Linked DNA regions of Drosophila melanogaster. The protein of the gene in region 2 interacts with the protein of the main gene of each other region in a pairwise test. Each region holds a gene or a part of one and is shown on either strand. Other genes may lie near its edges.

Region 1 (4,059 bases), on a different chromosome or scaffold from region 2:
ATGATATTCAAATACTAATCGATATTAGCCTAGTATCCTAGAACTATCTCTTATTCTCTATTTGTATTTCTAGTGCTATACTATTACTTACTATTGGTTCTAGTGAACAAAAGTCAATGCAGATCACGTAAATACATAGGTCTATAATTGGAAAACTTAGTTGGTCTTGGGTTTACCCGTGATACCTTATCAATGCATTTTCAGTGCTTAATTAATCTTTAGTTTTCAAAACATTCTCGTCAATTTGATTGATTTTAACTATATTTGTAACTGAGTACGTCCATTTGGCAGAAATGTCAGCCCTATTTTAAACTAGTTTACTTAATATTGCATCTAGAATTATGCTAGGTTTTAATTCTTCAGTTTATCGCTTCGAAAAACTAGTAATGAGTGAACCGACCAGCGCATAGAATATAAAATATGTACCTTTTTTGAAAACAACGAAGGGGCGGGAATATATTTTTTTAACCTTTAACGCAAAAGCCTCCGTTTATGATCATCAATTTCGTTTGGAAAAAAAAAAAAAAAAACAACAAAGGCTGTATGTATTATTTTATCCCAATACTTAACTTAGTCCATAGCGATACGAACTACATGTTTAGAGCTAAGAATCCCGGGTAGAATGCACACGCTGGCAAGGATTAGAGCCCAGACTCATCTGGACTTGGATCGCTGACAGCTTGGAACCCTCTCCGTTTAGGAAACCCCAATAAAGGACACTTTTGTACCGCAAATCAATCGTTTTATGCATCTGCCTTCTGGTTTCTTACGATTATTAATTCATTTCCAATCTTCTGATTTCTCTCATTTATTATGGCGCAATTTGGAACTTATAGATGAACTACATCTAACCTTATATTAATCCTAGCTAGCTACTCAGTTGGCCAGGCGCCAAGTGGTGGGTGCAGTCTCGGTTTGCTTTACCAGCTGCTCCTCCACATTGAGGTCGATGGCCATGGTGATGGTGGTGGTGGGCGGACTCTTGCCCTCGATCACCTCGATGGTGACCGATTGCGGCAGCGGCTTCACAGCTCCCTTAACTCTCGCCGGATCATGGCTGCGCATGTGGGCATTTAGACCGCCGGACTGGGCGAACGTCTTGCCGCACAATTTGCACGCGTACTTGCGCTGCTCAGAGTGGAGCAGCTTGTGCACCCGCAGCGCCTTCTTCCGTTGAAACGTGGAGCCGCAAACGTCGCAGACGAAGGGCCGCAAATTGGTATGCGATACAGCATGGACATTGAGGTCATGAAAGCTATAGAATGCCTTGCCGCACACCTCGCATTTGGCCGGCCTTTCGCCCGTATGGCGACGCATATGCGCCGTGAGAACGCCTCGATCTCGGCAAGGTCGTCCGCACACCTCGCAGATGCAGGGCATGCGACCAGTATGGCAGATACTGTGCGAGGAGAGCTCCTTTTGCGTGTAAAAGGTCGCGTCGCATTCCGGACACTTGTGCGGCTTGATGCCACTGTGTCGCTGGCGGTGGCGCATCATGTTGCCCGACTGGGTGAAGGGTTTGCCGCAAATGTCGCAGAAGATTCCCGTGTGCTTCCAGCGATGGCCGCGCAGATCGCGTTCGGTGCGAAATGTCTGGTTGCAGGCTTCCTCGTTGCATTTGTACACCTTCGGCGGACCTTTCCGCTTCTTGCTATTGCGTTCACTGGCGGATTTGTCCAGACTTCCGCCGTTGGCTTCGCTGTGCTTTAGGCGGCGATGGCTCTGCAGGCTGCGTTTGGTGTTGTACGCCCGGTCGCACTGATCGCATTGGAAGAGCATGTCCTTCGTGTCGTTGCTGTCCTTCGTGTCATCATCATCCGATTCCCCCTCCTCCTCCTCGTGAGTTTCATTATGCTCCGACTGCTCGCCGCCCGTCCAGTCGAGTTCGATGTCCAGCAAATCCTCGCGAGTCTCCACCAGGGTGTTCTTCATGGCCGCTGCACGCTGGTAATGCTGGCGTTTGGAACCTTCCTCCTTCTCCTCCTCCTCCTCCTCTAAGTCCGGGCTAGCTTCCTTTGCCAGTTCCTCATGTAGCTCCTCATTTCCCTGTACTTCGACGACGTCCTGGGCAATGGGATCGCTTTCCAGTTCGTTGGAACACAGCGAGCTGGAGCTGTTCGTGAAGTGTTTCAGCCGGAAGTGTTCCGGGTAGCCGTCCAACGGCAAACGCTGGTCGCACAGCAAGCAGCTCACTTCGTAGGAGGCGGGTGCACTGAATAAGACCTCGCCGCAACGCAGATTGTGGTAGCCACCGGCCACATCCGGCGGTGGCTGCACCTTGATCATCGCGGCTTGCTCCCTGGTCTGCCTGTGTGGAAGTGGCGGTCAACTGGCTCCGGATTAGCAGAGGATTCCAGCCGTTGGCGTCGCTTTTTTGTAAGTGTTTGTTTCAAGGGGGTGGGGAAGGGTGGTTTTCCCCAGCTGATGGTAGTGTTGGCTAACGAACCGCAGTGTTGAGCTTACCTTGGTTGTGGCGCCACATTTGAAATGGTATTTACTCCGATAAGTTCGTTATCACAAGTAGTTTCTAGTCATAACTTGGCGGAAAATCATCATGCAGCTTAAAGAATAACTGTTTTGAACAGCCAATTATCACTACTAACGAACCCTATCACTTTTGGGCGGGCATAGAAAAATTTATTTTTGTGTCATATTTTTCATGTTTTTTAAGGGGTAACATTAAATTAAAATTTGCAAAAAAATGGAAAAATTTTGAATTCGCAAATTTGAATGCAATTCGATTGGAAATTTCATTACGAGTTCAACGAGATATGACATACCATATTTGGTCAATTATTTTCAAAGTTCTGGGCAAAAAACTGATTATTTTATGAGGGAAATTCGGAAAACCGGCTTTTAACAAAAACAGAACAAAAATTTAACAAATTTTGACGCCAATTTTCATCAATACCTTGTCATATTGATGAAAATTAATAATAATAACATCGTCACAATCTTTTATCAAGTTCTCCGAAAATAAAGGATATGTAACGGTACATTCTGCCATTTACCAACGGTAAAACTTATCGATAACCGACCGCGCCTATCGCTGTGTATTCGGATTTTCGTATTCGAGTATACACTTTTTTTCGGATTGATTTTTCGCTGTCCAATTGGAGAAGTTCGAACGGGATAGGACACACAATCCCCGAGAGATATCCATAGAAGCGCCATCTCAGAGCAACCATGTCGGAGGCGGCGGTGCCAGCGAGCAATGCGAACGCGAATGCCACTGAAAAGATGGCCAGTTTGGTGCGAGAGGCGGAGAATTTGAAGACCAAACTGGAGGAGGAGCGCCAGAAGCTGAACGACGTCAATCTGTCGAACATCGCAGAGCGGCTGGAGCAGATCGCCTATGTGAACATCAAGCCGCGTAAGGTGCTCAAGGGCCACCAGGCGAAGGTCCTGTGCACCGACTGGAGTCCCGACAAGCGTCACATCATCTCCTCGTCGCAGGACGGACGTCTGATCATCTGGGATGCGTTCACCACGAACAAGGAGCACGCCGTCACCATGCCCACCACCTGGATTATGGCCTGTGCCTACGCGCCGTCGGGCAATTTTGTGGCCTGCGGCGGACTAGACAATAAGGTCACCGTGTATCCGATAACCTCCGATGAGGAGATGGCCGCCAAGAAGCGCACAGTGGGCACCCACACCAGCTACATGTCGTGCTGCATCTATCCGAATTCCGATCAGCAAATCCTCACGGGCAGTGGCGATTCCACATGCGCTTTGTGGGACGTGGAATCGGGCCAGCTACTGCAAAGCTTCCACGGACATTCCGGCGATGTAATGGCCATCGATTTGGCTCCCAACGAAACGGGCAACACCTTTGTCTCGGGCAGTTGCGATCGCATGGCCTTCATCTGGGACATGCGCTCTGGTCATGTCGTTCAGTCCTTCGAGGGTCATCAATCGGATGTGAATAGCGTTAAGTTCCATCCTTGCGGAGATGCCATAGCCACTGGATCGGATGACAGCAGCTGCCGGCTGTACGATATGCGAGCGGATCGCGAGGTGGCCGTGTTCGCCAAGGAGAGCATCATCTTTGGCGTC
Region 2 (3,608 bases):
TTCTAAGATGGCCGTTAAATATGTTAATTTATAATTTTTGGCGAGAATTTACAATTGTTCGCTGAATATTTTTATGAAAATAAAATAGAATTAAGAATATGGTTTTGTTATTTGTAGTAAAAAGGTGATAACGAGTTTTGGATTTCAAATGTTATGGAGTTATTGAAATAAAAATAAAATATGGTGGAAACCTTTTACTTTTTATAAATGACGTTCATTTTGAAATTGAAAAAAAAGAAAAGAAAACGATTTTTTTTTTAAATATCCGGTTTGGTATATCTGGTATTATTTATGGTTCGCGAGGTATATCGGTATATTTTAGTGGTCGATCTACGGTCACGCTGAAATATTTGTACACAATAAAAACCGGCTCGTTTTTTCGCTGAAAAAGGTAATAAACTAAAGTTAATGAACGCAAACGAAACAATCGGTGAAGTTAATCGACAAATGAGATGCATAATCCCGCGTTGCATTTTGGTGGATACAGAAATAGGCCAGAAATCGCGATTTCCACACCGCACCCATGACGTGTCACTCGCCCACTTCGTTTCTAATCAATTAGTTTGTTTTTATCCATAGAACGTGTTACTGTCTGCAAAATGATCACCGACGTGCAATTGGCCATTTTCTCCAACGTTCTGGGCGTATTTCTGTTCCTGCTGGTGGTTGCCTATCATTATATTAATGCCAATACCGGAAAGTAAGTAATCCCACTTGGTGAAGAAGAGGAAGAAGACAGCCCGGAATCAACAATAAAACCGATTTTCATTTATTTACAGGCCCAGTGCCAAGGCAAAATGATGTAGGATGTTTCCGCTAACAGACTAATATAGTTCTACCAGGATAATGATAATGCTGCTTCATTCGCAAAATAAATATGTAGTTGTACAAATCTAATCCAGGATGTCGTTAATGGCCTCCTTCATGGCCTGGACATCGTCCAGTGTTTTGCCAGATCTCTGATCTTTGCCTGTGTAGAAACTCCTCTGCGTTTGATGTCCAAAGCTGAAGGCCTTGACGTAGGGCAAACTTTTAGTTTCCTCTATCACCTCGTCCACCTCCATGGAATTGGGTTTGCTTTTGCCTTGATGCTTCTGTTTGCCCCTATTCTTGCTATGATCAAAGCGATAGTTTGCCGGAAGCTTGTGCGTTATGATGCAGTGATCCTTGCGCTGCCGGGCAGTATGAAACTTGATGGTGCACTCTTCCAGAAAGCAGGAAAACATGGGCTTGTCACCGCGCTCCACGCTGGCGGCAAAATAGCAATCGTGCTGTTCGGTGATGTGCAGATCCAGTAGATGGGCAGTGGGCAGCATTTTTCGGCATTCTACGCAGCTGTAGCTCTGCTCCTTATCTATGTTGTCCCTGATCCTAGCTGCCGCCGCATCCTGCTCGCCCAAGATGTCATCGATGTCCACGAGAACGCCGAGTTTCTTGAAGGGCGCCAAACTGGGTGCAGGCGGATCCGTGGGCTTTATGAATCCCGCTGGCACTTCGCTTAGTATCCTGATGATTTGCTCTCTGGAGAGAAGTGCTACTCCCGCAGCTTCCGAATCCATTTTGTTTGTGTTGCCAAAATGTTTTGTTTTGGTTCCTACGCCAGTTTCAACATGTTTCCACTGTACTGCCTCTTGGAAGATGTGATTTTGTTTAATTTATATAAAAATTAAAAATAATTTCCTTTTGAATTGAAATAGTAATACAATTTTTGAAGTGCATACGTAAAATAGACATAATTAATGAATTGAAATACTCGCTCATATTTTAGATGGATATATTTCTATATTAAACAACTGCAATTAAGTTGAAACATCTTAAATGCCTTTGAAATGATGCCACATCGCCAGACTTAGTTACGCGGGCTGGCATCGCCGTGCAGCACATGTGAACCTAAACTGGTTCCGCCCGAGAACCGGTTCTTTTTGGAATACGAAGCTGACACCGCGTGGTGTTTTTGCTTTCGATTCCGCATTTATTTTCCTTTCGACGCGTGGAAAATAAACAAATCCTGCCAAGATGAGTCTGTACAACTTCAAAAAGATCATGGTGGTTCCGCCAGCAAAGGTAAGGTGTACCCAGCAGCGCCCGTCCCGCGGAGCACCCCTTGAAGCAAAGACATAACCTCACTGGAGGTGTTTACCAATATGCGCAATATGTAAATAATATTTTATTTTTTGCCCTTTCCACAGGACTTCATCGACATTATGCTGTCGAAGACACAGCGCAAGACCCCGACGGTGGTCCACAAGGGCTACAAAATATCCAGAATCCGGGCATTCTACACGCGCAAGGTGAAGTACACGCAGCAGAACTTCCACGATCGCTTGTCGCAGATCATTCAGGACTTTCCCAAACTGGACGACGTGCATCCTTTCTACGCCGACTTGATGAACGTGCTGTACGACAAGGATCATTACAAGCTGGCGCTGGGTCAACTCAACACAGCCAGGCATTTGGTGGACAAGTGAGTGCCAAAGTCACAGATCCCCAAACGAACAAGGTTCGATTAACTATTCTATTTTTTATCCCGCAGTGTGGCCAAGGACTACGTGCGCCTGCTGAAGTACGGTGACTCGCTGTATCGCTGCAAACAGTTGAAGAAAGCTGCCCTGGGTCGCATGGCCACCATTATGAAGCGACAGGCCTCCAATCTGACGTATCTGGAGCAAGTGCGTCAGCATCTCTCGCGTCTGCCCACCATCGATCCCTATTCGCGTACCATCATCATCTGCGGTTTCCCCAACGTGGGCAAGTCCTCGTTCATCAACAAGATCACCCGCGCCGATGTGGAAGTGCAGCCCTACGCCTTCACCACGAAATCCCTGTACGTGGGACACACAGACTACAAATATCTGCGCTGGCAGGTCATTGACACACCCGGCATCCTGGATCATCCCCTGGAAGAGCGCAATGTGATCGAAATGCAAGCCATTACTGCCTTGGCTCATTTGCGCGCCTGCGTCCTGTACTTCATGGATATCTCCGAGCAGTGCGGACACTCCTTGGAGGAACAGGTCAAGCTGTTCGAGAGCATCAAGCCTTTGTTTACAAACAAACCCCTCATCCTGGCCATCAACAAGATCGATATTCTAACACCAGAGGATCTGCCAGAGGAGCGACGAGCGATTATCACCAAACTACAGGAGGACAAGAACATTCCCGTAATGCTCATGTCCACCGTACAGGAAACCGGTGTCATGGAGGTGAAAACCGAGGCATGTGAGCGTTTGCTCTCGTACCGTGTTGACCAGAAGATGCGCACAAAGAAGGTGGACAACATCCTGAACCGCTTGCATGTGGCGATGCCAGCGCCGCGAGATGACAAACTTCGTGCACCCTGCATCCCAGAAAAGGCCTCGGCGCGCCTGCTACAGAATGCCGACAAGGCAGAGCGCAAGCGCAAGCTGGAGAAGGAGATCGAGGAGGAGATGGGCGACGACTACACGCTGGACCTCAAGAAGAACTACAGCGAAATCCCCGAGGAGGAGCGCTACGACATTATTCCAGAGTTCTGGCAGGGTCACAACATTGCCGACTACATCGATGCCGACATCTTCGACAAGCTGGAGGAGCTGGAGCGCGAGGAGGGACTGCGGGAGGAGAGCGGC

The links.
Region 1: the proteins of l(2)k10201 (region 2) and CG18262 interact in a two-hybrid assay, tested with the Drosophila melanogaster proteins (one large-scale study listed by BioGRID).

The regions. Positions count from the first base shown.
Region 1 is NC_004354.4:8,151,271-8,155,329, reverse strand, and holds CG18262 (uncharacterized protein), read right to left. Parts: upstream 2,383-4,059; 5' UTR 2,287-2,382; coding exon 877-2,286; 3' UTR 797-876; downstream 1-796. Other genes in the region: Gbeta5 (G protein beta subunit 5), read left to right, coding at 3,187-4,059.
Region 2 is NT_033778.4:9,397,040-9,400,647, reverse strand, and holds l(2)k10201 (lethal (2) k10201), read right to left. Parts: upstream 1,569-3,608; 5' UTR 1,560-1,568; coding exon 894-1,559; 3' UTR 802-893; coding exon of another isoform or gene 780-801; 3' UTR 749-779; downstream 1-748. Other genes in the region: CG33774 (uncharacterized protein), read left to right, coding at 600-700, 780-801; Non1 (putative nucleolar protein 1), read left to right, coding at 2,017-2,064, 2,190-2,464, 2,534-3,608. UniProt on the Drosophila melanogaster protein: Vital for development.